7 linked regions of the Tribolium castaneum genome follow. The protein of the gene in region 6 binds, or shares a complex with, the protein of the main gene of each other region. Links are inferred from orthologs where the notes say so. Each region holds a gene or a part of one and is shown on either strand. Other genes may lie near its edges. The genes, in order: Usp39, LSm7, U6 snRNA-associated Sm-like protein LSm6, LSm3, peptidyl-prolyl cis-trans isomerase H, Prp3 and U5 small nuclear ribonucleoprotein 40 kDa protein.

What was found.
Region 1: Prp3 (region 6) and Usp39 share a complex: the UniProt entries of both Homo sapiens proteins name them as parts of the U4/U6-U5 tri-snRNP complex. The link is inferred for Tribolium castaneum from reciprocal best matches to the Homo sapiens genes PRPF3 and USP39.
Region 2: Prp3 (region 6) and LSm7 share a complex: the UniProt entries of both Homo sapiens proteins name them as parts of the precatalytic spliceosome. The link is inferred for Tribolium castaneum from reciprocal best matches to the Homo sapiens genes PRPF3 and LSM7.
Region 3: Prp3 (region 6) and U6 snRNA-associated Sm-like protein LSm6 share a complex: the UniProt entries of both Homo sapiens proteins name them as parts of the precatalytic spliceosome. The link is inferred for Tribolium castaneum from reciprocal best matches to the Homo sapiens genes PRPF3 and LSM6.
Region 4: Prp3 (region 6) and LSm3 share a complex: the UniProt entries of both Homo sapiens proteins name them as parts of the precatalytic spliceosome. The link is inferred for Tribolium castaneum from reciprocal best matches to the Homo sapiens genes PRPF3 and LSM3.
Region 5: Prp3 (region 6) and peptidyl-prolyl cis-trans isomerase H share a complex: the UniProt entries of both Homo sapiens proteins name them as parts of the U4/U6-U5 tri-snRNP complex. The link is inferred for Tribolium castaneum from reciprocal best matches to the Homo sapiens genes PRPF3 and PPIH.
Region 7: Prp3 (region 6) and U5 small nuclear ribonucleoprotein 40 kDa protein share a complex: the UniProt entries of both Homo sapiens proteins name them as parts of the U4/U6-U5 tri-snRNP complex. The link is inferred for Tribolium castaneum from reciprocal best matches to the Homo sapiens genes PRPF3 and SNRNP40.

The regions. Positions count from the first base shown.
Region 1 is NC_087394.1:36,569,594-36,574,813, forward strand, and holds Usp39 (ubiquitin carboxyl-terminal hydrolase 39), read right to left. Parts: upstream 3,078-5,220; 5' UTR 2,934-3,077; coding exon 2,858-2,933; intron 2,811-2,857; coding exon 2,772-2,810; intron 2,721-2,771; coding exon 2,460-2,720; intron 2,150-2,459; exon of another isoform or gene 1,906-2,149; intron 1,445-1,905; coding exon 315-1,444; 3' UTR 285-314; downstream 1-284. Other genes in the region: leukocyte receptor cluster member 1 homolog, read left to right, coding at 1-14; facilitated trehalose transporter Tret1, read right to left, coding at 3,105-4,474.
Region 2 is NC_087399.1:1,125,148-1,128,465, reverse strand, and holds LSm7 (U6 snRNA-associated Sm-like protein LSm7), read left to right. Parts: upstream 1-1,686; 5' UTR 1,687-1,819; coding exon 1,820-1,846; intron 1,847-1,900; coding exon 1,901-2,215; 3' UTR 2,216-2,287; downstream 2,288-3,318. Other genes in the region: ENGase (cytosolic endo-beta-N-acetylglucosaminidase), read left to right, coding at 1-567, 754-1,226, 1,278-1,395; glucose-induced degradation protein 4 homolog, read left to right, coding at 2,648-2,794, 2,985-3,152. UniProt on the Homo sapiens protein: Plays a role in pre-mRNA splicing as component of the U4/U6-U5 tri-snRNP complex that is involved in spliceosome assembly, and as component of the precatalytic spliceosome (spliceosome B complex).
Region 3 is NC_087398.1:10,390,815-10,393,873, reverse strand, and holds U6 snRNA-associated Sm-like protein LSm6, read right to left. Parts: upstream 1,336-3,059; 5' UTR 1,288-1,335; coding exon 1,197-1,287; intron 1,144-1,196; coding exon 995-1,143; 3' UTR 971-994; downstream 1-970. Other genes in the region: uncharacterized protein LOC100142353, read left to right, coding at 36-369, 411-970; inosine triphosphate pyrophosphatase, read left to right, coding at 1,399-1,971. UniProt on the Homo sapiens protein: Plays a role in pre-mRNA splicing as component of the U4/U6-U5 tri-snRNP complex that is involved in spliceosome assembly, and as component of the precatalytic spliceosome (spliceosome B complex).
Region 4 is NC_087399.1:10,143,445-10,146,918, reverse strand, and holds LSm3 (U6 snRNA-associated Sm-like protein LSm3), read right to left. Parts: upstream 1,776-3,474; 5' UTR 1,639-1,775; coding exon 1,618-1,638; intron 1,569-1,617; coding exon 1,461-1,568; intron 1,415-1,460; coding exon 1,238-1,414; 3' UTR 1,220-1,237; downstream 1-1,219. Other genes in the region: SCAR (actin-binding protein WASF3), read left to right, coding at 1-902. UniProt on the Homo sapiens protein: Plays a role in pre-mRNA splicing as component of the U4/U6-U5 tri-snRNP complex that is involved in spliceosome assembly, and as component of the precatalytic spliceosome (spliceosome B complex).
Region 5 is NC_087395.1:17,966,229-17,969,622, forward strand, and holds peptidyl-prolyl cis-trans isomerase H, read right to left. Parts: upstream 1,630-3,394; 5' UTR 1,551-1,629; coding exon 1,467-1,550; intron 1,421-1,466; coding exon 1,244-1,420; intron 1,199-1,243; coding exon 905-1,198; 3' UTR 860-904; downstream 1-859. Other genes in the region: G-patch domain and KOW motifs-containing protein, read right to left, coding at 1-117, 165-363, 414-604, 656-789; peptidoglycan-recognition protein 2, read right to left, coding at 1,684-1,874, 1,925-2,043, 2,089-2,308, 2,358-2,415. UniProt on the Homo sapiens protein: PPIase that catalyzes the cis-trans isomerization of proline imidic peptide bonds in oligopeptides and may therefore assist protein folding. Participates in pre-mRNA splicing.
Region 6 is NC_087397.1:1,257,108-1,262,277, reverse strand, and holds the start of Prp3 (U4/U6 small nuclear ribonucleoprotein Prp3), read right to left. Parts: upstream 3,495-5,170; coding exon 2,613-3,494; intron 2,559-2,612; coding exon 2,315-2,558; intron 495-2,314; coding exon 1-494. Other genes in the region: migration and invasion enhancer 1, read left to right, coding at 3,756-3,784, 3,842-4,103. UniProt on the Homo sapiens protein: Plays a role in pre-mRNA splicing as component of the U4/U6-U5 tri-snRNP complex that is involved in spliceosome assembly, and as component of the precatalytic spliceosome (spliceosome B complex).
Region 7 is NC_087399.1:11,299,160-11,304,051, forward strand, and holds the start of U5 small nuclear ribonucleoprotein 40 kDa protein, read right to left. Parts: upstream 3,115-4,892; 5' UTR 3,017-3,114; coding exon 2,906-3,016; intron 2,858-2,905; coding exon 2,728-2,857; intron 1-2,727. Other genes in the region: uncharacterized protein LOC656468, read right to left, coding at 4,634-4,740, 4,791-4,892. UniProt on the Homo sapiens protein: Required for pre-mRNA splicing as component of the activated spliceosome. Component of the U5 small nuclear ribonucleoprotein (snRNP) complex and the U4/U6-U5 tri-snRNP complex, building blocks of the spliceosome.

The sequences.
Region 1 (5,220 bases), on a different chromosome or scaffold from region 6:
AGAATTATAAATAAAGATCTTAAAATCCAATTGCATTTCCTTATTTATTCACGAAATATTTTTTTAATCGAATAGTTTACCGAACTTATTTGAACAATGTCTCACAAAAAATTAATAATAAAGCATTCATCTTTTAAATATAACTAATCTGTATGTTCAAGAACTAAAGATTTGACTGATTTCTCAAAAGCTTTTTGACCAAATCAGGCCAAAAACAAACCGCTCTCTGGACTAAACGTTTCATTACAGAAAAAAATCAGGGAGGGACAAATAAAAGACAAAAATTCCGGTGATAGAATTTTATTCGTAAAAAATTACTTTTCTAATCTTAGCTCATAAATTTGTATATAAGCCTCCGTCAGCGTAATCATCTGCGGCAAAATATCCGTCACATGCAAGTCCTGCATCTCGTACCACTTGCCCGTTGATTTTTGCAAAATATGAACCCTGTAAGTGCCTTTCCCCGGCTCTCCATCATGCACAATATTCGCCACTAGATCATAGACCGTATGTTTATGTTTGGCCTTAACTTCGGGCGTCAAAAACTCGCCAAAATCAACATTCCTAACCGGAAAATTCACAATGGTTGGATTCTTCTCCACGTAGAACGTGTTCTTCGTAAACCTCTTAATATACAAGATTAAATAAGGCGGCAAACGCGTAATCTCAAACTTCTTGAGGAAATTCTCCTTGTAAGTCTTGTACTCCTTCTCGGTCTGTCCGTTGAACTTGGTGAGGAGCTGGTACAAGTTCACCTGGGGGATGATATTCTCCCGGAACTCGTCGATGAAGAGAGGCGGTGGAGGCAAGTCGCAGGTGAGGTACAAGAAGGGTGACTCGGTGATGATCTCCTGGTACTCTGGAGTTGACAAAAGCATGCGTTTCTGTCTGTCGTCAAGCTCGGTCGGTGGTATTTTCCTGGTGTAAATTTTCATGTTTCCGAGGAATGACTGGTAAATGATGGAACTGTTTTTCTTTTTATTGCCGTTAAGTGCCCGATGAAGTGCGTTCAAAAACCACGAAAGGAAATCAATGGGGTCGCCTTGTGCCGTAATTTGGAAGCGCTTTTTGCTCCACAAAACCACAGCTTGGAGCATTTCGTGCGGCGAAACGTGGGCTTTGAAATTTCGGGGGTTCCATAATTTACGCATCAGTTCACCGTAACGTTGCACCAGGAGGTAAGAGGAGTCACCTGGGGGGCGTTTTATCTTGCTGTAGTTCTCCTCACGGAGGAAGTAATTACGTAAAGGGACAACACGTGAAAGGGCTTGTAAAACAACATTACAGTAATCGTTCGCTTTTATGTTGTTTAAACCGACGATTCCTGGCATGTAAAGTAGGCCATCAATTGCTCGGGACATTTTTGTGCTAACGTCCAATGTACTGATGTGTTGTTCGGTAAATGTGGGGTTGAGCAGGTATTTAATGTCGTCGAGGGACGAATCTGTGAGTAATTTAATTTTGTTAGAAAAAAATCGTTGGAGCTTGAAATTAAGTGGCAACACTGATTACTGAAACCGAATACTTCCCCGAACATTTCCTAGTATTTGCTTTTTTCAATTCAGAAATTGACAACACGATTATCGAAAATAGACAAAAAACACAAAAATTAACCGAAAAACCACCAAACGGATTCAATAATTACATAATGTTTGTCTTTTCCGAAGATCCCAACTTGTTATTTCAGGCAGAAATGCCAAACAAGCCGCAAAATTACCAAATCAGGCCACAAATTATCTCATTTTTCCTTTTTTTTTAAGCCATTATGCATGTTTTTGAGCTAAACAGGCATTTATTTTACAAAATTCGTGAATTATGACATTGTAAAAACGTATAAATCCTAATCTTTGTAAAAAGTCTCCCAATTGAAGACTTCGCGCGAATTTCAAATCACGCGCGCTCAAGTGTCATTTTCAAATCAGCCAATGAGGTGCCGTTGGCGTGACATCAGCGTTAGAGTGAAGCTTGTCTGCCGAAGTGCGCGTCCTTTTGCTTTTGCGTGTTGAAAAACCGGTGTTTTGTGCGTGTTAAGTGGCAAAAACGACTCAAATCGACTTTTTATCGGAAATGTGACGTGTGTAGACTATCAAAGTGTGTTAGCAGCAAGCTGGAAGCCGGTTTTGAAAAAATTCAGTTAGACGACGCTAAGGTTAGTCATTTTTGTATTTTTTCCACGATTACTCGGTTTAATTCGAGTTAGTTTCGGTTGAAAACGCATACAAAACGATATTCAATAAAATGCCAATCGGAAAAATGCGACAAAACGAAGATTTCACTTTATTTTTGAAGGGGGGCGTTACTGGCATTGCGCCCTCTCAAACATTCGCGTTATTGAAACGATTTAATCTAATTCGGTGTAAAACTTCAGCTCGAATCAAGTGAGTTGGGTAAAATTGTTGAAATTTGAAGAAAAATGTTGCCAACTTAATTTCAAAACTACAATTGAGAGTATTTATTACCTATTATTTCATAATTGTCGGGCAAGCAGTAAAACTTCAAGGTGTGCAAGTTGAGGAAAACGTGGTGGCCTTCGGCCACCGAATGCGTATAAGCATGTGTGTTTGTGCCTCTACCTTGGAAATATTTTCCGCAAACAAGACAGGCATAAACGTTGATGCGAGTCAACGACACTGAGCACAATTTTTCGAAATCAAAGTCGAGATATTGCCGGTTGATTGTGTCCAAATAGGGGCACAGTCGATGCGTTTGGGGCTTCCCACCTGGAATAGACAATAATAGAACAGGGCGCTTTAATCGATTGATTTTTGTACCTTTCCGGTCCGAATTGTCAGAAGGGGGCTCAATTTCGGCTAAAATTGAACGTTTCAGTTGCGTTTTCGAGGTTATGTGTACTTACGTTGTGAGGAGTTTGATTTGGCTTGGGGCTCCTCGAACTTGGGCTTTTTCATGGCAGGTTCATCGTCCGCTTCCATCGTATTCACGCTTTTTTAATTAATTTTTGATTAAATCACGCTAGGACTGTTTTTGTGTGGTGTTTGCAACTTTAAGGTTATATTTACTGTCAACGGTGTCAATAATAATGTCAATCTGGTTATGCAATAAAATTCGAAATTGTAAAAAAATAAGTACTTTATTCAATAAAATTACGCTTTGAGACTAACTTTCTCTTCTTCGGCGCCTCGTTCATCACAAACTTCGACTTCCCCTCTCAGTTTTTTCTGGATGTCTTCGAGGGTTTTTCCTTTCGTTTCAGGCACAAAGAAATAAATAAAAACTAGTCCAAGTAGCGAACAAATCCCGAAACCGTAAAACGAGACATGTAGTCCGTATTCTACTTTAGTTATTTGTAAGTACTTGGAGGCCACTGTGGCCATCACACTGAAGTAAACATCGGCCAAACAAAGCGCAAAAGCTTTCACATTTGTGGGAAACAACTCCCCTAACATACAAATCGGGATTGACTGCATCCCTAAACTGAAAATTATCACAAAAGCTAGAAGCCCCACAACGGCCACGATCGAAAATGAGCTCGTATCAATGTCCGTTTCGTTCAAAAGATAAAAATAGGTCCCTTCGACAAAAAGGGCTAACGCCGACCCCGCCATTGAGATGATCAACAGTGGTCTTCGACCGGCCTTATCCACAATACTCGAGGAGAACATTGTGAGGAGCAACTGGATGGAGTAGTAAATCATCACAGCGTAATGTGCGGAAATGTGGTCCCCAGCAGTTTGGAAAATCTCATGGGTGTAGAAGGCAATAGCCGTGGTCCCCGCCAATTGCTGGAAGCCCCGGAGCCCCCCGATGATGAAAACGGCCTTCCGGTTGCTCTTCACCCGGAACAAGTCGACGAATTTCCCATTGTGCGACTTTTCCTCAGCCTGGATTGCGTTCCGGATTCGGTTCAAATCCCCGGAGACATTTTCGCGTTTTTTGAGGCGTTCTAGTGATTTCCGGGCCTCGTCCGCCCTCCCACGCATTAACAAATAGTACGGACTTTCCGGCATCCACAAGAATGTAATAAATAGGATTGCCGGCACAATTGAGGACACAAGTGCCGTGGTTTTAATACTAAGGTACGACCCTATCACATTTATGATGAGAAAACCGGCGATCCAGGTCACGGAGCAGCTGGAGCCGAGCATCCCTCGCACCTGGGGGTCGGCGATCTCGCCGATGTACATGGGGACGACGGTGAAGGTGACGCCGTCGGCGATGCCGGCGATTAAACGCGCGATGTAGAGGAGGACGATGCTGGGGGCGAAAGCCACCATTATCCAGGAGAGGAAGAAGGGGACGGCGGTGGCAAGGATGGTGCGTTTGCGGCCCAGGATGTCGACGATGGTGGCGGCGGTGAGCGAGCCGATGACCGCCCCCACCAGGGGCATGACGGCCAGGTTGGAGCCCTGGTTTTCGTCAATGCACAAGGTGCAAGTCTCGTTGTTTTTGAGCTGGGGGAGGCTGGGGGACGACCAGCCGTAGATCATGCCGTCGGTGACGATGGCCAAAGTGCCTGCGAGGAAGCGAAAGTGAGTTTCTCGATTTTGTAAGGATTGGATTCAGGTCGTTAAGTTTTTAGGGGTTTCTGGTTCAGGTAGAAGCGAAGGTTCAACCAGATGTTCTTTTGTTGACGAATGGAATGATGACCGGCGTATTCAATTACACAATCAATCAGTAATCATAAACAAGTTGGATAAAAAACTAAACGAGTTATCTTTTCGTCGTGCCATGCTTTCGTTGGGTTTGAACTTGTTTTGGCTAGTTTCTTAAGGTGGTTTTGAATGGTTAAAGTCTTCATTATCAGATATTTTTATTCAAATGCATAGACTTTACACTTGGGTGTATTTTTATCTTATTTTCAGTAATAAAGTAATAAAGAGTTACGTCAAATCTGTACCTAAGTTGTTTCTCCCTCCTTACTCCAGAAATACACAGTAACATACAGTAACACAAAAAAACTGAGGTAGTTTTTTATACCTATAATATATTCAAAGGAAATATCAAACAATTATTTAAACCCCAAAAATTTTATCTTTCTCGGGCAAAAATTGAGATTAAAGCAAAAAAGAATAACAAATTATTAATTGAACTTTTGAGGAACCTAGTTAGAAGCTCCATTTTAGGAAAAATAAGGGTTCCAATCTATTTTTCATGTAGAAAATTGATTAAAATATTGTAGTTCCACAAAAAACAAAATCTTCAATGTCCAAAACAGTGAGCAAAATCTCCTCAAAAATCCGTGACATAACGTGTTTTTTT
Region 2 (3,318 bases), on a different chromosome or scaffold from region 6:
TTCCAATTCGACGGGTGGCTCCTCAACATCGAAAACTCGCTCCAAGACACCGAAATGTTGAAAAAATTCGTTGCCTACTTAGGGGTGCAAACGCACACCCAAAACCCCGACCATTTAATCATCTGGTACGACAGTATCATTGAAACGGGCGAATTGAAATGGCAAAATGAGCTCAACCCCCTTAATAAATTTTTCTTCGATAATTGTGACGGTATTTTCCTCAATTACGTATGGACTGAGGAAAATATCCACAATTCGATTGAATTTGCAAAGCATCGGACTTTGGACGTTTACGTGGGGGTGGATGTCTTCGGTCGCAATACCTTCGGAGGCGGTCAATTCAACTGTTTCAAGGCCGCCCAGATGATAAGGAGACACAACTTATCAATGGCGATTTTCGCGCCAGGCTGGACGCACGAAACGCTGCCCAAAAGTGAAAATCGGCAAAAATTCTTCGAGGATTTTATTAATCGAGACTCGGCTTTTTGGAACAGTCTGTGGCCCTATTTATACACGCATCCCATTACGAGGTTCTTCAAGACCAGTTTTTTCACTGGAGTTAACCAGGTATTTAACTAATTAATTAGTTATAACGCGCCCAAGTTCGTATTACGAAAAATAGTTCGCCCTTTCTCTCTCACTCTTTCCTATCGGAACTCCTATAGCTCTGTCCTTGTCTTATGTAAATAGCGGGTTATAACTTTTTAAGTAAAATTATAATAACTTAATAAAAACAAATGCATTAATTTTAAGGACGTCTACGACCTGTTCACGCAACACCCGCAACTCTCAAAAATCAAGCACCCAAAGTCACTAGAATGGGTCCCCAACCACCACGAAATACCAACACTGAACAATAAGTGCAACTGTTTACAGTGTGCTTTCACCAGTACTGGTGTTAGGTGTTTAATTACTAAAGAATTTTTGAATAGTTCAATATGTTACGTCCATCGTATTTTCACCTGTGATATTTTCCTATCTGGAGTTATCACAATTTACGTTTTGACGAAACTAGTACGCGCACAAGCCGCTCAATTAAGTTTAAATCTCCTCACTTCGGATAAAAACGGTACAATTAGAAAAATTAAATGCAATAGCACCGTCAAAGAACACCTAATTAAAAACTGTACGTTAATGGAAATCAATCCTTCGATAAACCCCTCACTTGTTAATCACGTCGTTAGAAGTAACGACGATTTGTTTCTACACGAAAATTTAACAATTGCGTAAGTCGGTCACACGTTTGGTAGGAAAAAAAAACTAATTAACTTTTTCAGTGTTTATCAGTTTGATTGTTCGCCGTGTACGTTATTGGAAATTGGATGTACGTTAGAGGAGGGAAAAGCGATTTATTTGTGCGGTCTTGGAGTCGAAGAGCACGTTCTAGTACTCTGACACAACTTTCGTGACCAACAGTACAAACAATTTTCTGCCATACTGTACATTTTGCCAGGGCTTGAAGCCCAAATAGTTAACATGTATTAATGCTTTAGTAACGCCCCAATGTGTAAATAACTTTTTTTGAATAAATGATAACCGAGAATTTTGCATTTTTCATTTGAAACTTTGTACCTCCACTGCGCAAGCAGTCCTCTACAAATTGTGTCCCAAAATTGCGTCAATTTTTACGTAATTCTTTAGAAGCTAAGAAAATTAATTACGAAATTGCTGGACTTTACAAACCGATAATTATTTTTTTTTATTTCAAAATTAATCGGAAGGTTCCGTGCGCATAGGAGACCATATGCACGCGTCACCTCCAAACGTATTCTAGGTTAGAATTTCAAAATCGGCAAAATTCCACAAATAAAGCCGAACAATGGCATCGTCAGGTGACAAATCAAAAGTACGTACCCCAAACTGCCCCATTTCGCCCCCTCAACCCCCATTTTTACCGTAGAATCAGAGCGGTGACCAAAAAGAGAAGAAACGTAAAGAGTCGATTCTAGACCTCTCTAAATACCTTGAAAAGACAATTAGGGTGAAATTTGCGGGCGGCCGAGAAGCTAGTGGTATTTTAAAAGGCTATGACCCCCTTTTGAACCTCGTCTTAGACAACACAATCGAATACTTGAGAGATCCAGACGACCCTTATAAATTAACAGAAGACACGAGGGCCTTGGGTTTGGTGGTCTGTAGGGGCACAAGTGTCGTGCTCATATGCCCCATGGACGGCATGGAGTCCATACAGAACCCCTTTATATCCCAAGACTAAGTTTTGTACCATAAAAATACCTCTAATTTGTAAGACGTTTTTTTGAATAAAACCGGTAAAAAATTAATAAAACTGTTTTATTGCACAAACTAGCTCAATAAATTAATTAGAAGTTTAGTTATAATGAGCGTAAGCAACCACCAATGCTTATAACCAAAAGTAATTAAAGCGTACACACAAAAAACGTGTTAATTACGCTTGAGATTAACGAATAATTGCCCCAAATAATAAATCTGGGTTGATTCAGTTGATTGCAAAAATGGGTTTTTCTGTCCAAAACTACGGTTGAGTACAGTCGCCCACACATTTAATGGCCCTGTTGCGCACCGAGCATGCGCAAAAACGCTCTGACCGACTCGGATGACTCACCGCCGCCATTTTCCTTTCAAAAAAGTGACATTGGTGACAGTTGAGTGCAAAAGTGCTTTAAAAATGCCGGTCAGGGTGGATATTACGCCTCCCCCGCCGGCCAATTCAAAACAGCCGGGGGTAACAAAGTCCCTCTTATACAACGGCTCCAAATTTCAAGGTTTCCAGAAATCGAAAGGCAATTCGTACGAAGTGGAAGTGGTTTTACAGGTTAGAAGTTGCAAATAATCGCACCATTGCCCCCCTTAACCAAAATTTCGATGACTTTGTACCGTTCGAACCCTTGTAGGACGTGTGACGTCCCTTTTGCTCACCGCTTATTTAAAGAAAACTAAAAATATCAACATATGCTAATGCAATCCGAAATGGCGGGAAATTTAAATTTCGCTCGTTTTTCCAGCACGTCGACGAGGAAAACTCCTATTTGTGTGGCTATTTGCAAATTAACGGGCTCACCGATGAGTATCCCACCTTGACTACGTTTTTCGACGGCGAAATTATCAGCCAAAAGTACCCGTTTTTGACCAGAAAGTGGGACGCCGACGAGGACGTGGACAAAAAACACTGGGTGAGCACCCAAATCTTTGTTTTTAGCACAATTTCAAAAATTACAAGTAGCCAAGCATCGCAGCTCACTATCTTATAATTATTATTTTCACAATCTAGAAGGCGCCAACCCAAATGTCAACTGTTAATGGACAGTCACAGCTTACTATCTTAATATATTTTTTTTT
Region 3 (3,059 bases), on a different chromosome or scaffold from region 6:
ATTCGAAATTTCCCAATAAAAGCGTAATTTTCGCCATGCGTTCGACTTGCGTGCTTCCGCTCCTCGCGGCTTGTGCCCTCGCGCTCAAAATGTGCGCCCAAAATCACCGTTTTCTCAAATTCCACAAACTAAGGAGTTGCTTCAAGTCGACGCTTCCGATACTGTCGTGGAAACAATTCGATAACGTCCGCGATTGTATGCAATTCACGCGGGACAAAAACGGGCTAGCGTTTAATTTTAGCCCCCCTGAGCTCCAGAAAGCGCGGAGTTGCGAGGTGTTGGGGTGTCCGGAAGTCCACAACTCGACCACGTTTGTCTTTGACCCGAGTTACGATTATTACAGCGCTTATGGCGACTTTAACTGTGGGGGTGAGTGTTGGAAGGATGGCTTAATGTGAATTGAATTTTAGCCACAGCGAACGCAACTTGTCTCAGATCAGTCGGTTTGTTTCAAGTGGTTCAGGAAAAAATGAATTATTCCAGCGCCGCACGTCGGTGCCAGGATTTGGGGGGCGACCTGGCTGATATTTTGACTGAGGCAAGGACGAACGCACTAGCTGCGTTACTCAAGTCTTTGCCTAACTGGTACAAGGGGGCATACGTTGGCCTTGACGACATTACGGTTGAGGGGAGTTTTGAGACTCCAATGGGGGACTTTTTGCAATGTTCGCGGTTTCGGGCCTGGGCTGTGGGCCACCCAAGACCAGGACGAAGAAAAGAAGACTGTGTCATGTTAGATGTTGAAAAAACGTGGAGGGCACTCAATTGTAAAATTAAATTGGACTTCATCTGTGAATTTTATCCAACTCCTCCGGACAACACATTGAATGAATTTAAATATCAGAACTGTAGTCTCGTTAAAAGTAAGAAAAAGAAACAAGAGTGTGAGACAAATAACGAGTTATTTGAGCTATACAACAGCTCTACGAGAATCGATCAGTGCGCTTTAATGAACGACTTTGAGTTTTGAAACGTTTTTATTACAAAAAATACATTAGATTCTACGTTTTTGTGTACTTATGTAGAGCACATTGTTGCCCCTAATAAACGCATCCCCGAATTTATTTTTGAGTTGTCCGTTGACGTATTCCTCGGTTTGCTCCAACGCTATGTTCATGTAGCCATCGAGACAAGCCAAAACACCTAAAAACCAAATAATAGCCCCCTTCATTGACAAAAAACAAACATAACCTCACCTCTGTAATCTACACCACTATTCAACTTGACCACAACAGGCCTGGCGTGAATTTGTTGAATAAAAGACGAAAGGGCTTCTTTGCGACTCATCCTTATCAGCTTGTGGCTCAAATTTGCTTATTTAACCGCCTCGGCTGACAAAAACCTAACCTCAAATCGGCATGTACATAACCCCACTTCCTGTTTTTTTCACGCAAAACCATGTCGAAACCGCTAACATTCGTCACCGGCAACGCCAAAAAGCTCGAAGAGGTGGTTGCCATCCTCGGCTCGACATTCCCACGCAAAGTGGTGAGTCAAAAAGTGGACCTCCCTGAGCTCCAGGGCGAAATCGCCGATATTTGCGTGAAAAAATGCCAAGCGGCGTACGAAATCATCAAGGGGCCGTGTATCGTCGAAGACACGTGTCTGTGTTTCAACGCATTGGGTGGTTTGCCCGGTCCTTATATTAAGTGGTTCTTGGATAAGTTGGGTCCTGAGGGGCTGTTTCGACTACTGGCTGGGCATGAGGATAAGAGTGCCCAGGCCGTTTGTACTTTTGCATATCATCCGGGCGATGAAGGGGGCAAAGTGATTCTGTTCGAGGGGCGCACGGATGGAGAGATTGTGATGCCGAGGGGGCCGAGGGATTTTGGATGGGATCCGTGTTTCCAGCCAGTGGGGTACACGCAGACGTACGCCGAGATGCCCAAAGAGGAGAAGAATAAAATCTCTCATCGGTACCGCGCCTTGGACGCGCTGAGGAATCATTTTATGAACCAAGAGAAACAATAATGTTTTGTCGTTTTAGTTTTATTTGACTTTAATCAACTTAAATAAATTGTTTTGTTTGATTTGAGTGCTTTTTTGTTACGCTTTTCTTATTTCTCCGGCAGGTTTATAACAAAACAGTCCGGGGGGTAGTACTTTTTAGTACTCAAATGCCATTATTGAAAGGATAGTAATAAAGCGATCAGTAAAAAATTCGATTTTAATCAGTAAAAAATAATAAATCATCAGTATTTAATTCATTTTTGCACAGTAAAAAATTTAAATGACAAGTAAACCACGCACAGTATTTTTTTAAAATTTGCCCAATAAAAAAATCGTATATGCACAGGATCTAGTTTCAGTTTGCACAGTTTAAATAATAAACGCTCAGTAGCTAGCTTGCAGTCTAGGGCTTCGCCCCAGCAAACTAAAAGGAAAAATACTCCTCGAACGATTAAACTCAAAAACGTAAAATTGGAAATGTGAAATTCTACACACTCTAGTTTTGAGATGCTATTATTTACTGTGCATTTATTATTTTTACTGTGCAATTATTATTTTTACAGTCCATTTATTATTTTTAGTGTGCATTTATTATTTTTACTGTGCAGTTATTATTTTTACTGTGCATTTATTATTTTTACTGTGCATTTATTATTTTACTGTGCATTTATTATTTTTAGTGTGCAATTATTATTTTTACTGTGCATTTATTATTTTTAGTGTGCAATTATTATTTTTACTGTGCATTTATTATTTTTACTGTGCATTTATTATTTTTACTGTGCATTTATTATTTTACTGTGCATTTATTATTTTTAGTGTGCAATTATTATTTTTACTGATTAAAAATACTTGTCGTTTAAATAAAATACTGTGCATTTAATTTGTATCCTTATTGAAATCGTTTGTAATGTGACTAAAATAGTCCATAACAAATGTACGTGTGTAATATTGGTTACGTAAATTAAAACATTGTTTTCAAGACTATTTCTTCCACTTCAGAGCGTTTTTAAACAGCTATTTCTACGTAATATAAAATTAAATTATAAACGTTTTTTGAGTGCAATTTCAAACAAGCAAAAAATTTTTGGTTTCGGCAATAAATAAGA
Region 4 (3,474 bases), on a different chromosome or scaffold from region 6:
AAAACACCATCTATCGCACCCCACAACCCATCATCCAGCAACAACAACAAATGTTACCAACCGAAGAAATGATTGAACCACGCCCACCACGACCGAACTCAATCGAAATACGACGCTCGTACCAACAGGAAACCACCGACGGTCTCCATTCCCCCACTTACCCCCCGTACGAGGAGTATGGCCAAGGCCCACTCAGTTCCGAATCATTATACCAAGGAGGCACGCCCACACGAGGCGGTAAAGTCCGCCCAAGCCAGCCCCCACCCGCACCACCTAGCAACACGAGCACGCCCTCGTCCAATACCCCGACGCGAGGGCGGAGCCTCTCCGGCCGCGACAACCTACCACCACCGCCCCCACCACCCGACACGACCATGTCACCGCCCAACGGCATCCCCGCACATCTCGCCACCCAATCGCGTTCAAACAGTCCGCATCAAGCCACACCTCCCGAACCGGTGCAAGACTTACCTCCACCACCGCCCATACCTAAGCAAGCCTCGCCCCCCAAACAACAAACTCCACAAGCCCCGCCTCCGCCACCACCTCCACCAATGCCGTTACTGAACGGCCCGACGACTAGTCCCCCATTGGTTAACGGCGATTTGGCGAAAATTATAAATAGTGCGTCGCCGCCGCAATTGACACCTGTCAAAGATCGGCCAAAGCAGGCGCCGCCTATCGTCGATCCCAGGAATGATTTACTCAAAGCTATCCGAGATGGGATTAAGTTGCGCAAGGTGGAGAAGATTGAACAGAAGGAGGTGGAGAGAGGGAACGGTTTCCACGATGTTGCGAGTATTTTAGCTCGGAGGGTTGCAGTCGAGTTTAGCGATTCGGATTCAGGAAGCGATTCGGAGTGTGATAGTGAGGGTTGGGGCGAAAATGAAACGTCGGCGTGACATAGAAGGAAGGCTAGCACGGCTAGTCAAGTGTATTGAAGCAACGAATTTTCAATTTTTAACGAGCAAACTTTAGCAATATGCCAAATTTCCAGTATTATTGAGGCATTGCATGATAAGCTTATTAGATTGCGTTTACAGTGGATGGTTTTGACTTGGGTTGAGATGTACATATTGTAATGAACGTTTTATTTATAAATTAAGTTGTATAGAGAATTATTTAACTCGTACTATCCTAATACTCCTTTTTAATATTTTAACCAATTATCAGGAAATCTTTGTAAAATACGATATTTAATGGGTAAATAAACATCATGTCAACGTATGTGTTTTATTTACGAAGTGCGCATTGGGGGTGAGACCAAGATCACGCCGTCACCTCGGACGAAAAGCATGGGAATATTACGTTTCGTCGTTCTGTAAACCTCTTCATATGTTTCTTCATCGATTTCAACCGTGGTTATGGTCTCTTCGGCGTCGCTCAGGATCATGTTCATGTGTTGGTCATAAGCCTGGAATTTCGGTTTGTGATGGATGGAACTTTGTTAGACAACTTACGTGGAGTCTGCCCCGGATTTCTCGATCGTTTCGCATTTTTACATAAATACGTTCGTCTAAACTTAACCTCACTAAATCGAGCGGTTCTTTGACGGTGATTGAGGGAATCTGAAAGGAGTGGTAGGTGAAATGTAATTCTAAATGAAATGGGTCTTACATTTTCTAAGTCATCTGCCATTCTCACGAAAGATGATACTTGTTTGTAATATTAAATTAAACAGGCCAAAAGTTAGGTTAAGTTGTCGTTACAGTGTCGCCACAATAAGAACACCTTTTTCGATTTTAACGATATTCGGACAGACCGGTCTTGGCATGTAATAAAATTCGGGCGGAAGGTGTTTTTTTGAATCTAAAAAAAATTTGTTTTTTAATTAAAGCCACAGATTATTACCGCGTTTTACTTTTTAAAATAATACAATCACTCGTTTTAGGGATCATGCATAGTTTAACACTCACTAACACTTAGAAATCGGCAGATTATACAGGGTGATTCTTTTAGGACCTACATTAGAGACTTTTTAACTTTAAAAAAAACTAGTGCTTTAAAAGCGACTATTTGAAATTCAACTAAATTATTTTCAAAATTTCTGAGCTTCCGGAACCACGACAAATTGGCGCCAACTTTAAAATTTTGAAGAGTAACTAAACATTTTTATTACATTTTTTAATTCACTCTCTCAAAGTGAGTAAAATTTATTAAAATTGTTGGTACTTATCTGTCTTAGTTTTACATATGTCAATTTTTTTGGTAAAATTTTTATTTGCAAGGGTTTATTTAAATTATCACAGCCTTTGAACCGTTTAGGAGAAGTGAATATATTTTTTTTTAATTCGATTATCGGAGTTTCGAAAAGTTTTCTAAAATTTTCAAAATTGTCAACTGTCAAAATTCAAGGCTAGTATGATTTTTTTAAATGGTTATTAAAAATAAAATCGGCTATAATTCAGTTTTTTCAAATGGATCGACTCTATTTTCTTAACGGCAATCGAAAGAACAATATTCATGGTGATTTTTATCAACACGTCCTGTACCTTACCTGTTACAGTTTTTGAAAAAATCACAAATAACGGATTTTACTTCGTAATTTTTATAGTTAATCAAGTAGACCTTGCAAAATGGTCAACAATTGTCAAACTTCGACACTTTACTTAGTTTTTAGCTGGTTCATTATCAAATAAGCAGCAAAACATTAATATTTAATTATGGTTTATGCTAACTTAGTGAATAACTCAGTCAGTTTGCCATCGAATTTTGAACTTTTTGAGTGAAAATGGGGGACAGTTTTAAAATTTCTGTTAATCATTAGTACAATTTTATCGTATTTTTTGAAAGGTTACTCGATTAAAAATGAAAATAATTACCTTGAATTCGGTTTTTTGAGATTATTTCAAAAACTGTAAGAGATAGATATAGAAGATGTTAATAAGTCTGCATAAAAATTGATGTTCTTTTGATTGCCATTGAAGTCATTCCATTTAAAAAAACTGTTCTATAATTGTTTTTTAATTATCATTTTCAAAATATCATAGTAGCCTTGCAATTTGACAGTTGACAATCGTAAAGATTTCAGAAGACCCTTCGAGCCTTTGGTTATCAAATGCAAAAAGAATTATTCACTTATTTTAAAGTACTCAAGAGCTATGATGTTTTAAATAAACCTCTGCAAATAAAAAATTTATCAAAACATTTGACATATTTCAAAAACTAAGACAGATAAGTACTAACAATTAGGTTTACATTTTACTCAGTTTCAAAAGGCGAATTCAGAAACACAATAAAAATAGGTGGTCACCATTTAAAATTTCAAAGTTGTCGCCAATTTCTCGTAGTTCCGGAAGTTCAGCCATCTTGAAAATAATTTAGTTTTAACTCAGAGTGATCGATTTGAATCGTGTACAAAATTTTAAAGCTCAACCTATGTTAGAAGTTAAAAAGTTTGTAATATAGGCTCTAAAAGAATCAGCACGTATATAAAATTACTGGTTGCTAAAGTCCATTCGGAATTAAAATCAA
Region 5 (3,394 bases), on a different chromosome or scaffold from region 6:
TGGAGCGCTTTACCCTCCTTATCTACACTTTGTGAAGGGGTGCTGGAATTGACCATTTTATTGGCACCCAAGCCCAGGCCTTTGGGGCGCAACTCTGGGACTTTTGGGACCTCAGATCTAGAAAAAATCATTTTCAGGATGTGTTTTAGAAAAGTTAAACCAACTTTTTGGTCCTTTTCCCAATTGGCATTCCCTCTTTCCAATTCATGCCACGTAACATCGCCATACCAAAATCTGTAATTGGTACACTTTCGTAGTCGTCGAGAGACGACTCCTGTGCCCCCTCTGCCACAAACTTGTCGTCATTTAAAGGCAAGGAGTAGACTTTTGTCTCGCTTTGTACAGTGTTGCGAGTCTGTGCCTCTGAAAATTTTATTCACACTAGAAAATCACTTGAAACATAGGGTAAGTACCTCGGATTAACTCTCTTGCCGCTAATTCGTCAAGAGATAGGGCAGAGTCTGGCACAGAATTTGCCTCCCCTGTCTCTTCTTTAACTTCAGGTTTGACGTGTTTTTCCCTCGCTTTTTTTATTTGGTCTATTAATTTGTTTGATGGGCCTTGGATTGGTATCACCAACGGCTCATTTGTCTCCTCAACGGCACTAAAATGAGGTTTTTGGCAAAAATAACATAACCTCAAAAACGAAACATACCCTTTTATTTTAATTGATTGACCCTCTAAACAGTCAATTAGCTGTATCTTATTTTCGGGTTTCGGAACACTTGACCTGATTTCGGTCTTTTTACTAATTTTGCTGAAACCGAACGATATTTTTTTATTTTCCATTTCACGATTATTTACGTTTTTGACAAGTGAGGTTATGGGACCACCAACCTGACAAAATAAAAATTTAAACTAAGTTTTATTTTGTGCTTTTATTATTAAAATTTGAATTACACTACTACATTTGGCCACATTGTACAATTGTGACCGGGATTTTGGGCTTATTGTTGGGCCCCGTGGGCACGTTTTCGATTTTCCGCATGACGAGAAGTCCGTCAATAACGCGTCCAAACACCACATGTTTGCCGTCCAGGAAATTACACTTTGCACAAGTTATGAAAAACTGGCAACCGTTGGTGTCTTTGCCGCTGTTTGCCATTGATAGAAGTCCAGGACCGTCATGTCTTAGGTTAAAATTTTCGTCGGGAAACGTTCCGCCCCCATATATACTCATAACGCCGGTCCCATCGCCCTAAAAATATTAATTAGTTGCGGAATCGCATCCCGTGATTTTTACATTGACGAAGTCGCCCCCTTGGATCATAAAGTCCTTGATAACTCGGTGGAAACTAGCCCCCTTGTAGCCCAACGGCACGCCGTCTTTGCGGAACTCGCCGGTGCAAAACTGGCGGAAATTATCGCTGGTTTTGGGGACCGCGTCTGCGAATAACTCGAAAATCATTCGGCCGATTTCCTGTAATCGAAAAATACAGTTTTCGGAAATTTTGGGTTATTGGTACCGTAGTTCCGACGGAAATGTCGAAAAACACGACCGGGTTCGCTGGGTGCTTCAACTGGGCTTGAATTTGGTCCCAATTCGGCATTTTTACGGTTTTTAGTTCCCTAACCTCGAATAATCAAAACAACATAACCTCAAACTTGCGACTAATGGGCGCCATATTTAAATTCAAAATCGTATGCTTTATAATAATTTTATTTTAAAAACTAGAATACAGTTTATTTCGGCGGGGACCTGGTAAAGTGCGGCCAGTTCTGTAGTTCGCGGTACAGCTTTAGGCCCGGACTTTCCGTCGCGCTGACTTGGCGGGCCCCAAACAGTTTGAAACTTTTGCCCAACTCTCCCAACTCAACCCCGCATTGGAGAAAATCTTTAGCGGCTTGTATCTGCTTTTTATTTGGAAGTTGAGCTGTAATAAAAGGCTCGTAAAGTACGAAAATAACACGAAAAACAACCTACTCGTGTAATTGCCGATGAAACCGAGCCCCAAAGACCGGGAGTTGTACCCACGTGTGTGCGCCCCCACTTTGTGCCAACCTGCGCCCTCGTAAATCTGGCCGTCACCACCCACTAAAAAACTAAACCATAATTAAAAAAAAAAAAACAAAAATCATCAAATTTACTTGTATCCAATATCGTGAAAATCTAGATTTTCCATGTGAAAATTCTGAATGTTTCGCAAAATCGCCGCACATTCTTCCTCAGTGCTGCAAGTGTTGGTCACCGTGTGGTGCACGACCACGTTTTCGACAGGGATTAGGGCGTAATCCACTTCCAAAGCAGTGCGAGCCCCCCATCTAGTGCGACTCACGATTTCGGGGCACACTGCCGGCAAGTTTGACTCTGGAAACACCTCATTTAGCAATGGATGGGGTTTGAGCGGTGGTTTTACCTGTTCGAGCCAGAATTTGGTGCAAAATTGAGAAAATAATCACGAACTTTCGTCCCATATTCAACTTTGCCTTGTATGCAAAATTAAAATTATTTATTTAATTAGCACGTCCTTTAATGGAACAACACGAGTAACCTTCGAGATGATAAACTTCTGCATTTATATACGGTGACCTGTGGGGTCTATGACTTTATCTTCTTGTTATGGTTTTTATCTCTGGGTTGTGGGGATTCCCGATCAGGGACTTCACCAACGGTGACTAAAGTTAAATAAAAACAAGAGCAACGAATTTAATTTTATTTTTGTGCTGGATTTTGCAGTCTTCTTAGACGTCCTTATCACTATCAGTTCTTATCATGTTTTATTAAATCATAACTTAACGTAATTTTCGTTACGCAGTTATCAAGTCACTTAGATACGGGGGGCAACTCAGTCAGTTAATTCGCAAGGTTTGTGCGGGAAAAAAATTTTGGTTTTTAAAATTTTGCAAAACTTGTTGAGAGGCGCTGCCCGTCCGTTGTTTACTTCTTTCAAGGTTGCCTACACTGACCGTCTGGAATTTCATATCTTGACATTTGTGATTCTGCGAAAATGCCTAAATAAGGTCATTTTCCTAAAAAGTGCCGATAATTCGTGATGTAGTTGAGAAGTTTTGCTTAAAATTAGTATTAGAACGGCAGCTTATTACCATGGATGACCTAGGTAAGGACACAAACGCTTCGCTTATCCTAACCACCTGCCTCATAACCTAAATTTGTCCCAAGTTAACACATTATTAACAGGCGTGTTATCAGTAGCGATTGAAATTAAATTGAATATTAATCTTGATAACACCAATATTTGGAAATTGGTGCAATAATTAAGTGGGAGGTCAGCGATCAGCGGTTGCAAAAATGTTGACTTGTTGCAATTTTGTAAACAATTCGCCTGACAGGTGTCAATTAAACTGACGTAACCCCATTAATTCAGTCTAAATTTATTTGGCCGGCAGCTGGCAATTCGAATTATAAAACTGTTTTCTAGCTTCATCTTTCCGC
Region 6 (5,170 bases):
CTGCTGTTTAGGGCCGCCCTCCACCACCACCACGCAACAATCGGGGTACAAAACCACGCAACCGGTCATAAACAACTGTTTCGCGTTGGTCTCAACTTTGAATTTCTTTGACGGCAGTTCGTGGAGATCTCTGATTCTGTAAATGGCAACAAAGACGCCTAACGAAGTGTCCTCTTTGATTTTCTTGATTTTTTTGTCACGTTTTTGCTCGCTGGTTAGTTTTCGCGCAGCGTTGGCGTCTTCGTGTGCTTTTTGTCTTCTGGCCATTTGTTCTCTGACGTGAGCTTCGATTTTTGTGGGATCTTGGACAGCTTCGGTGCCTAAAGCTCGCATCAGGTTTGAAATACGTAGTTTGGGTTCTGGTGGCGGTTCTAAGCCCAGACGGATTTTTTCTTGCTCTTCTTTCCACATTTCGCGGCGGTTTTGACGGCGCAGCTTTTTGCGCTCTTTTTTCGTCAGGAATACTGGCATGTACACAGGCTTGATGGGGTCCGCTGTAAAGAAATGTTTTTTTTTTATTTAATTTAAAACAAGTCGTAACTAATTTTTCAGAGAAAAATTTTGCTTAATTTGGTCAAAAATAATCCAAAAATTTACGAAAATGTTGTAATGTTTCTCTTTCCAAGCGTTTAACCCCATCTTCGCTAAACTCGACCAAAAATTGCTAAAATAATAAGCTCAAAAAATGGACAAAAACGAGGTTCGAATGTTTTAGCAAGTTTGTGAGCTAGAAAAGCAATGATGTCGACAAATTTATTCAAAAATGAGCTCAAAAATCATCAAATGTAAGGTTTTTGGCAAAAATTCACTACCTGGGACCCAAAAATCACTTAAATAAGGTCAGGAAATTAAGGAAAAACACATTTATTGAGAGTGATTATTCCGTTGAATTTCTGCAAAAATAAGCTGGAAAATCGTTAACTTAGGATGTTGTTTTGTTTTCGAGGGCTTAAACGTGTTTTTAAGATAAGAAATTAAGTTTTCTTTAGCGAAAATTCGCTAACTGTGACTCAAAAATAATTTAAATAAGGTCAAATATGACATTATTTTCTTCTTTTTTGAGCGTTTTAGCGCAAGATTTTGAGCCAGAAACAATTATTTCGAAGAATATCTTTACAAACAAGCCTAGAAATCGCTAAATTATGTCGAAAAAAGTATTTCATTTGCTTTTTTCGACAGTTCAAAGACGTTCTTGAACTAAAAACTTTTTTTTTGGAGAAAATTTACTAACAAAAGTCACTAAATATGGTTGAAAATGGCATTATTTCTTCAACTTTCGGGCGTTTTGACACGTTTTTCAATTAGAAATAATTATTTCAAAGAATTTCACTAAAATAATCCGAAAAGTTGTCAATTTAGTGAGGAAAAAAAATCACTAAATAAACCAAAAATTACATCACTCTCGATCATTTCGATTGTTTTAACACATTTTTTAGACAGATATCCAATTATTTTGGTAAATTTCGGTCAGAAATAAAATGAAAATCGTCAAATTATGCTGATGTATGGTCAAGAAGACTTAAATTTTCGCGAAATTTCGCTAAACATTGCCAAATAAAGACTAAGTTAGGGCAAGTATTACATTATTTTTGCTTCATCCGAAGGTATAACAAGTTTTCGATGAATTTCTTCAAAAATAAGACGAAAAATCACCAAACTAGATAAAAAAACAGCGTTATATTTCACTTTTTTCAAAGACTTAAACAGATTGTTGGAATAAAATAGTTTTTTTCTGCAAATGAAGCCAAAAATGACATTTGTTTTAGCAAGTTTTTCAGTCAGGAACACAATTATTTAGGGGGATTTCAATTAAATCAGACAAAAGATTCAATAATTAGCTCATTAATAGTTTTTTTTTGCTTTTTTCGAGGCCTTTGCGTGTTTTAAACGAAGTTGTTCCGACGAAAATTCAGTAAACAGGATCCAAAAACACTGAATAAGTTCAAAAGTGAAATTTTCTTTTACTCTTTCAAGCGCTGTAGTCCGTTTTTTATCCAGAAACATACTTATTTCAAGGGATTTTATTAAACTGAGCCGAAAAATCGCCAAAGTAGGTCAATAAAAGCGACAGAATAATCAATAAAATAAGTAAAAAATTCTAATGTTTTGCAATCAGTTTATTTGTTTCACAGAATTCCACCCACAATAAGCCGAAATTTCGCAAAACTGAACCAAAATTATCATTATCATTACGTTTATTACACCAGAAAAATTCTTATATAAGAAACCGAGAATAAATCACATTTTTTTATATAACTCAACGTATTTCCCGACGGGAGACTGAAAATAAAAAAATAAAAATAGTTGTTCTTACTTGGACACCTCAGCTGGGTTGGATGCTCAACCAACGTGGTAATTACAGATTCCTTTATTGCGATTTTCCCATTGAGCATCAAATCTAAATTATCGATCAAAATAACGGAATCCCACCACTCCATCTGCGGTATGTCCTCAATCACCCCCTCAGACTTTGCAATAAGCGCAAGCTTAGTAGCCGACGAAATGCCGGTCTTTTTCGCAATTTGTGAAATTTCATTTTGCAGTTTTTCCAACTGGGCCTGAAAAAAAATTCATTATGACCCAACACACTTCCACAAAAAACCCAGACATACTTTCATACGAAGCCGCTCGGCCTGTTGTAAAAATTTGCCGGGTTCGTGGAACCTAAGCTGTCTTTTGTTCCGAATCGGCGGCTTTATCCCAATTCTCCCATCGTAAAATTTCATTTCGTTACTGTCGTCCGTTTTATCGCTCAACTGCGTCCTGAACTGTTCGCGCTTTTGGGCCCTGATGTTGGCCTTAAGTGTTGGGACAACGTGGGTCAGTTGCACCGCTTTTCCCGTCTTGTCGATGGTCCTCCCTTCGTCGTCCAGGATCAGGGGGGTGGGCCTGTTGGGCACCACTGGTATTTGTATGGCGTTGGTCAAAATCCCGCTGGAGAGCTTGCTCTTGATCTGGGCTTGCAGTTGCGCGATTTTGCGGGCCTTGTCGGCGTCGCCCCTGTTGAGGAGCCCCATGGGGATGCCGTAAATGCTGGGCTGGGGTATGTTCATGTTGATGTTGTTCTTGCCCAAGGCGAGCCCATCAATTAGGGCCCGCTTCCGCTCCTCGATTTGTTTCTGGGCGCTTTCCATGATCTCGCTCGATTTGGATTTGTTGCGGTCGGAGTCATGTCTACTGTCTCTATCGTCGTAGCGCGATTTCGAGCGCTTTGAGTCTCGTTCTCGGGAATCGTCACGCGATCGTTTTTTCGACCGATGCGAGGCATGATAGTCTTCGACTAAATCAAATATCTTTTCGGCTAGTCTTGTCGCCTTTTTGCTATCAACATAAGACGAAAGTTTGTCAGTAGTTTTGCGCCTATCGTACCCTGAATTTAAACAATGGACTGCGGTACTGACCAGGGAGCTATCACTGCTGCCGAGCAGTTTGTAAACGGCTTTGTCTATAGAGGGTTTCAAGTCCTCCACTTCTCGCCGGGAGAGGTACGACATTTTTGGCTTTTTTAACAATTATCAAGATACGATTTCCAACGTTTACACACACGATTTTAGGTTAGAAGTCAAAAATTGGACAACACCAACGGAACAAACTGGAAATACCCTATATCCCAATGACAATCCCCATGTCAAAATGACAATTAGGGGTTATGGGCATGTGACAAGTGTAAATAAATAAAAAAATCAGGAAGGGCCATAAAGCCATAGCCATAGAATAAGGGAGAGGCCATAATCCCTCGATTGGATTAACTTACAATGGGGGTTGAAGTCGATGTTGAGTTTTGGTAAAAAAAATGGAGATGGTTTAGTTTTATTTATATCATTTCAGAGATTATTTGTAGTGGGACTTGTGGATATTTTAAAAAGTTCGAAGAGTTAGCGCAGCATATTAAAGCCAAACACCCCGATATTGAACTGAATGGGCATGAAGGCAGGAGAGCCACATTTGAAGTTAAAGTCAATGGGACTTTGGTTCATTCTAAATTAACTACCCTTGCTTATCCTGACTATGACGACCTTTCTGCGATCATTGATGAAGTGGCTCAAGGAAAAGAACCACGAAGTTGTAAACAACAGCCCATCACCAGTTGCATAATAGCTTGATAAAAATTAATGTATTATTTATTTTTGTGAGTTTGTTGTGAAAATAAAAATATATGTGTAAAAAGGTTTCTTGTTACTTGCAATCAAAAGTCAGATAAACTGATCGCGTGACTAAATTTGACCAATCAGATGCTTAAATTCACCGCGGATTAACTTTTAACAAGGGATTAAGTTTTAATTTCTTTTTTGGCGGGCGTTAAAATTTGGAATGGCCTGTGTACAATATAATTTTATGCGTTATATTTTGGTTCCTTGATCCAAACATGAGAATAGATTTGTTTGGTCAAGCAGGAAGTGGAAAACAACTTTACAGCTGTAATAAAATTTTACGATAAACAGTGAAATAAGTGCAGTGTGAATGTAAATAAGTATGGAACCAAACTTACCTATTTTATATTTAGGAACAATACAAACAGTAAGTGTAAAATCTATTTTTATGCTGGGCTGTTGCAGTAGGAAGATCAGTCTGTATTGCAATAAAAGTCCTTGAAAATATCTTGGTCAGAGTTTTATGTCAGTTTTATTGTTTCTTACAAATAATGACATTTTCAGTGTGACTATACAAAAGTGTAACGAACTTGAATTCACCCAAACAATGGTAAAACAAATTTCTACGTAATATTGCTTGTTTCGTAAGTCGTGGAACAACTAAAAACAATTCAATTTTTGGAGAAAAAGAAAGGAAAATTGAATGGTTTTTAAACCTCACTCGCAGCGTTGTTTGTTGTAGGATTTGTAGTATTTTCGCAACAATTCGGTGAATAAATAAAACTGACAATATTTGTAAGTGTTGTATTGTGAGGTTGCAGTAGGAGCTGTACTGGGTACAGTCTCTTTACACATGAGATTACAAATTGAAAAAATGGAAATAAACCAAACAACCGGAACAAGGAAAGACACACACAACTACTGACAAAAGAGTTGTAAAAATACACTTACACAGCTGGAAATGAGACTTAGTAAAAAATACTACAGTCCCAAATTTTAATTTTTTAATTACTTGTTACAATTAAAACTCGCATTCTGACACCGATACAGAAATTGCAGGCATTCGTTTAAAAGAACAG
Region 7 (4,892 bases), on a different chromosome or scaffold from region 6:
TGATATACAAGACAATAAAATTTAATTTTACTTTGAGATCTTGAGAAGATAATAGTGAATTTTATCGTGTGCAATACAAAATTTTATTCCATCCTCCATTATTTCGATTGAGTTACTGAGCTATTTTGATTGACAGTTATAAACGTCAAAAACTCAACAAAAACAACAATAGTTGTGAACAATATTATTTCTCTAAGTGATAAAATTTCATTTATCCTTGACGATGGAATAAATAAAATTTTAAATAAAAATATAGTTTGGATTCTTTTAATTTCATTATGAAAATGAACAGAGTTAGAGTGATTAGAAGTAAAGAAATGATTGTACAACTTAAAAAAACAGAATAAAATCATAAAATTTTCTGTTGAATTGAATGCGGAAGACGTTTTTGAATTTGGTATTGCCTTTATTATAAAAAAATAAAATTTTTCGAAAAACTATAATTGATAATTTTCTTTATTTACATCCTCATATGTTCCTTCTGAATAAAGTTAGAAACCTTTTTGGAGAAGATCCCTAAATGAATATAAGTTCAGACGTATATAGGGTGAGTCTTAACTTACACGCATAAATTTAGGGAATGATAGCCTTTCTAGTAATAGTTATTTACAATTTACCTGTAGTAGGTAAAATTTTACAGCGTGAAGTTTTAATATTGAAGCTCGAAACGAAGTTGAGGGCTTTAATACAAAAATTGAACCCTGTAAAATACCTAACGCACAAATAACTTGCAAAACTGGTTGGCCAAATATCGCTAAAAATAGATAAATAATTACCACTCAGCATTTAGATTATTTTACCACGCAATGTCAACATTTTACTTAGCAAATGACTAAATAGTAGTCATTTATACGGACTAGAAAATTAAAAAATTCTAGAATGAAACCATAAAATTTTCTGTCCAATTATTCTACAGAGTAAACTTAATATAACACATAAAATTTATATCTTAGTTATGGCTTATTTTTTTCAATACACAAATCAATTTTATTTTTAGAAACGCTAGTCTTTGACATCCAGTTATTGAGAAAAGACATGTTAAAATAACATTTTAAATAGCCACCAACTTTTTTGTTTACTATTTTAGTACTACACTCCTTCATATTTCTGATAAATATAGGGTGCTCAAAAACTGGCGCACCAACTCAGTGGTACATTATTGAGAAGCAAGTGCAGATTACGGGAAAAATGTTTAAAAAATTCCTAAAGTCATATTTTGAAAAATCTGGAGCTACAAACTTATTGTGTTAACTTCTTTAGTTTTCATTATTTTTTTTATGTATTTATGTTTCATACCAAGTAATCGTTCCGTAACAAAACGATGAATAATTATTTTCAAATTTACTATCAGATTTTAGCAGTTTTTTTAATTTAAAAAAATTAAAATTCATCCAAAAAATCGCAATGTGTAAATGTGCCAACACTGGCAATTATTTCCTAGGAAACCGTTTCAAAAATAATTTATTTTTATTCTTGCTCAACTTCTGTTGCGATCATGACTGTTAGACAACGTTGCCACATATCATTTATCCAAAATCCGTTATTTATCAATAACTTTAATACAAAGAATTTTTTACTATTTTTACCTTTATATGTAACCAGTTCTCTACCACACACCAATGAGTTGGTGCGCCAGTTTTTGAGCACGCTGTATAATAAAATTCAAACAAATGGAGCAAAAAATCAAAAAACAAAAAGAATAAAAAAATGAAAGAGGTAAAAAAGTTATGAATAATTTTACACAAGGGCTTTATTTTTCTGTTTTGGCTTTATTTTATAAGAACGATTGTTTGTTTTTCCTTATTTTTTTGTTTTTAGGTTGTTTTCATATTAGTTAAAAAACAAAAATAAAAAACATGCACCCCTGATAAAACAAAGCAATAACAATTCGTGTATACATATAGTCGATTTTTTTTATAATCAACTGTCAAAGAGCCGTCAGGTTAGTATTACCATAAATAGTAATTTTTACTAAGATGGTACTAATTTTTACCTGGCAAATTTAATTTAATGGTCTTTAAGTTACAACACGCACAACACATTTTTTTAAAAGGCTAACAAATTCTAAAGACTAACGAATTCAAATTTCATTGGCTGCAAAAATTGTCCCGAATGTCAAATCTGGTGTGTAAAATGTCAAATACAGAATACAGCTAGTTTCGAAAGTGATTAGACATGAGATTTTGGTGTGATACAGTCTGGTCTTTATCAAAATTTTGACACTGACAGTTAATTATAAAAAAGAATGAACTGTAGTTATCAAATTATTTTTAACAGCTAATGTACCTGTACAAAATTTAAAAATATTCTTGTTACAAATAGTTTTATTTTTGAATAAATAAACTAGTTCAGAATATTTTAAAAATGAACATTTGCTTCCATTTATTTAACTTGGTAATTTTTAACTACTATTGGAACCTGCACACAGGCGGCCAATTGGCATGGCTCAGCCCTGCTAACATCAACTGATGAATTATGTTGCACAAACAATTGGAAAAACAGCTTTAAGCTTATTATTTACATTTTTATCAATAACAATTGAAAATTTTTTACTCTTAACTTTCGAATTATGTTAACCCCCTGAATCAAATTCCCAACGCACGGGCGTTAATTTTAAGACACCCTCTATGTACTTCAAATTACTATATTAGATATTCAAGTAAATCCTCCAAAATTTTGATATGAAGACCTATTTGGCTGAACCTCATTGCAAAAAAAACAACTTACAAATTCTACGGTCGAAACCTGATGAAGCTACATATTGACCCTCAGGGTGGAATTCCACTGTGAAAATCTCACCCTCGTGGCCCTCCAGTAACATAATGGGGGCAAATAGATTGGAAGTTCTCGCAGGGGCCTGAAATACATGATTTGAGGAGGGTTTTTGAGGTTAAGTGTTACTAACCGCTTGTAAGACCGATTTGTTTTTGTTCGATGTGGCCACTTCATTTTTCGATTTTTTGCTTACGGGGACTAGAGATGATGAATCTTCGGCTCGACGTTTCTCAACAACCATTTTTGGTGTTTTAAACAAAAATTGGGAGGAAAACAATAACCTCACTTTTTAGCGTCAACAAAACGAAGCGATAAGCGCCCTCTGGTGGAGAGCACGAAGTACGATTTGATTGTATACCCTGTTTCAATTATATAAAACAAATAGTTATCTCCTTTGGAATAAATGTTTGACAACAATGAAATGGTTTCCCAATGTCGATATCTAAAAATTATTTGGTTTTTTACTTGCCAAAATTTCGAAAACGATTAATATTAGCTCACTTAACTCACTTTGCGTAATTCTTATTACTTTTTTGCTCTAAAATTGTCAGTATTTTCCCGGTACTAACAGATTTTTGTTAGTAATTTGCAACACTGAAACACAATTAAGTTTCTCTTGGCAAATATTTGAGGTACAACCCCATAAGACTGTTGCATTATTGCGCCATCATTTTTAGTGTGTCGTACTAATTTTTTGGGATTAGAAACTCCTGTAATTTTATATCTTGTTTCATCTCCTAAGTTTAGGAGGAACCCCCGGAGTTTAGGCTCATTTTCAAACTACAAACATCTTTTTTGCGTAATTTTACTAAAATAGATTGATAAGAATGATATCTTCCAAATTATAGTCGTTATTATAGTCTGCTTTGTTTGATTCAGTAAAGTTTCGACTTAAAAACTACATATTTTCTTAAATTCTGTCAGAAGAAACTTAAAAATCAGCAAACTTGATCAAAATTAGATACTAGATACTAATGTTTTTTGTGTAATTTTGGCAAAACAATCCAAAAGGTTGTTAAATCGTGTTAAAAATAATGTTATTTGTCTATTTTCAGATGTTTATTTAATATTTTAGCACTTTTTTTCGTGAAAAAACACCGTGAAAATCCTTAAATTAACTAAAAATTGACTTGACTTTGGTTTATTTTGCTCAATTTTTGAACTCATTTAAACTCTAAAATAAATCAGTTTGTAAAAAAACTCTTAAAATGACACTAAAAATCATTAATCGAAAATCCCAAATTTGTTGGAAAATTATGTTATCTGTGCCTTTTTTAAACGTAGAATTTTGTTAACAGACCGACATTGATTAATGATTTCTTCCTCTTAGACGATATTACAGAAAAAACTTAAAACACTGATTGCATGCCAAAAAAATTGCCTAAACATTTGCAAATATTTACGTACGTTTCTTCCAGAATATGTATATCCTGTTTTTATAACTCATTTTAATTAATTTTTACTTAAAATATTTACTTCCGTGCCTACGGAGAGTGTGATGCAACTAATCTAATAAAAATATTTAAAATAAGTGCTCAAACATTAAACTTTGCGACACGCAAAGTGGATAAATATTTGCGGCATTCCATCAAAGTTTGCGTAATTTCCATATTCTGTAAAATGCATGTGTTAGATGGAAAGAAATAGCAAAATAAACATTTATTAAAGTGGATTAGCAGATTATTTCAACAATAATAAATAGACTAAAACCTACGTCATAAAAAATTAATATCTTGCAATAATATCATCAACAACAAATCGTGTTACACATTTCACATTTTTTTAGACTAGTTTTAACTAAAATTAACTCCGTCAAACAATTCTCTGTCTTTGGTTGAATAAAAACACACAGTTTTTCCTAATAGTGCCGTCGGAACGGATCTTTAATATAAGCCCCACGTTTGGTTTCTTCCCGAATAAAAGTGAAGTAACTGAAGACCACAAGCCACATGTAGACGTAAATAACTGAAACAGGAAAATAAGAAAAACGAAACTATAATTTTTCAAATACTTACTAACTGCAATGATGCCCAAAACAATCCATAATGTACCCTCTGTTGATTTCCCATTAATATAAAATTGAACGGCGGTGTAAATCACCGAAACTAATATACCTA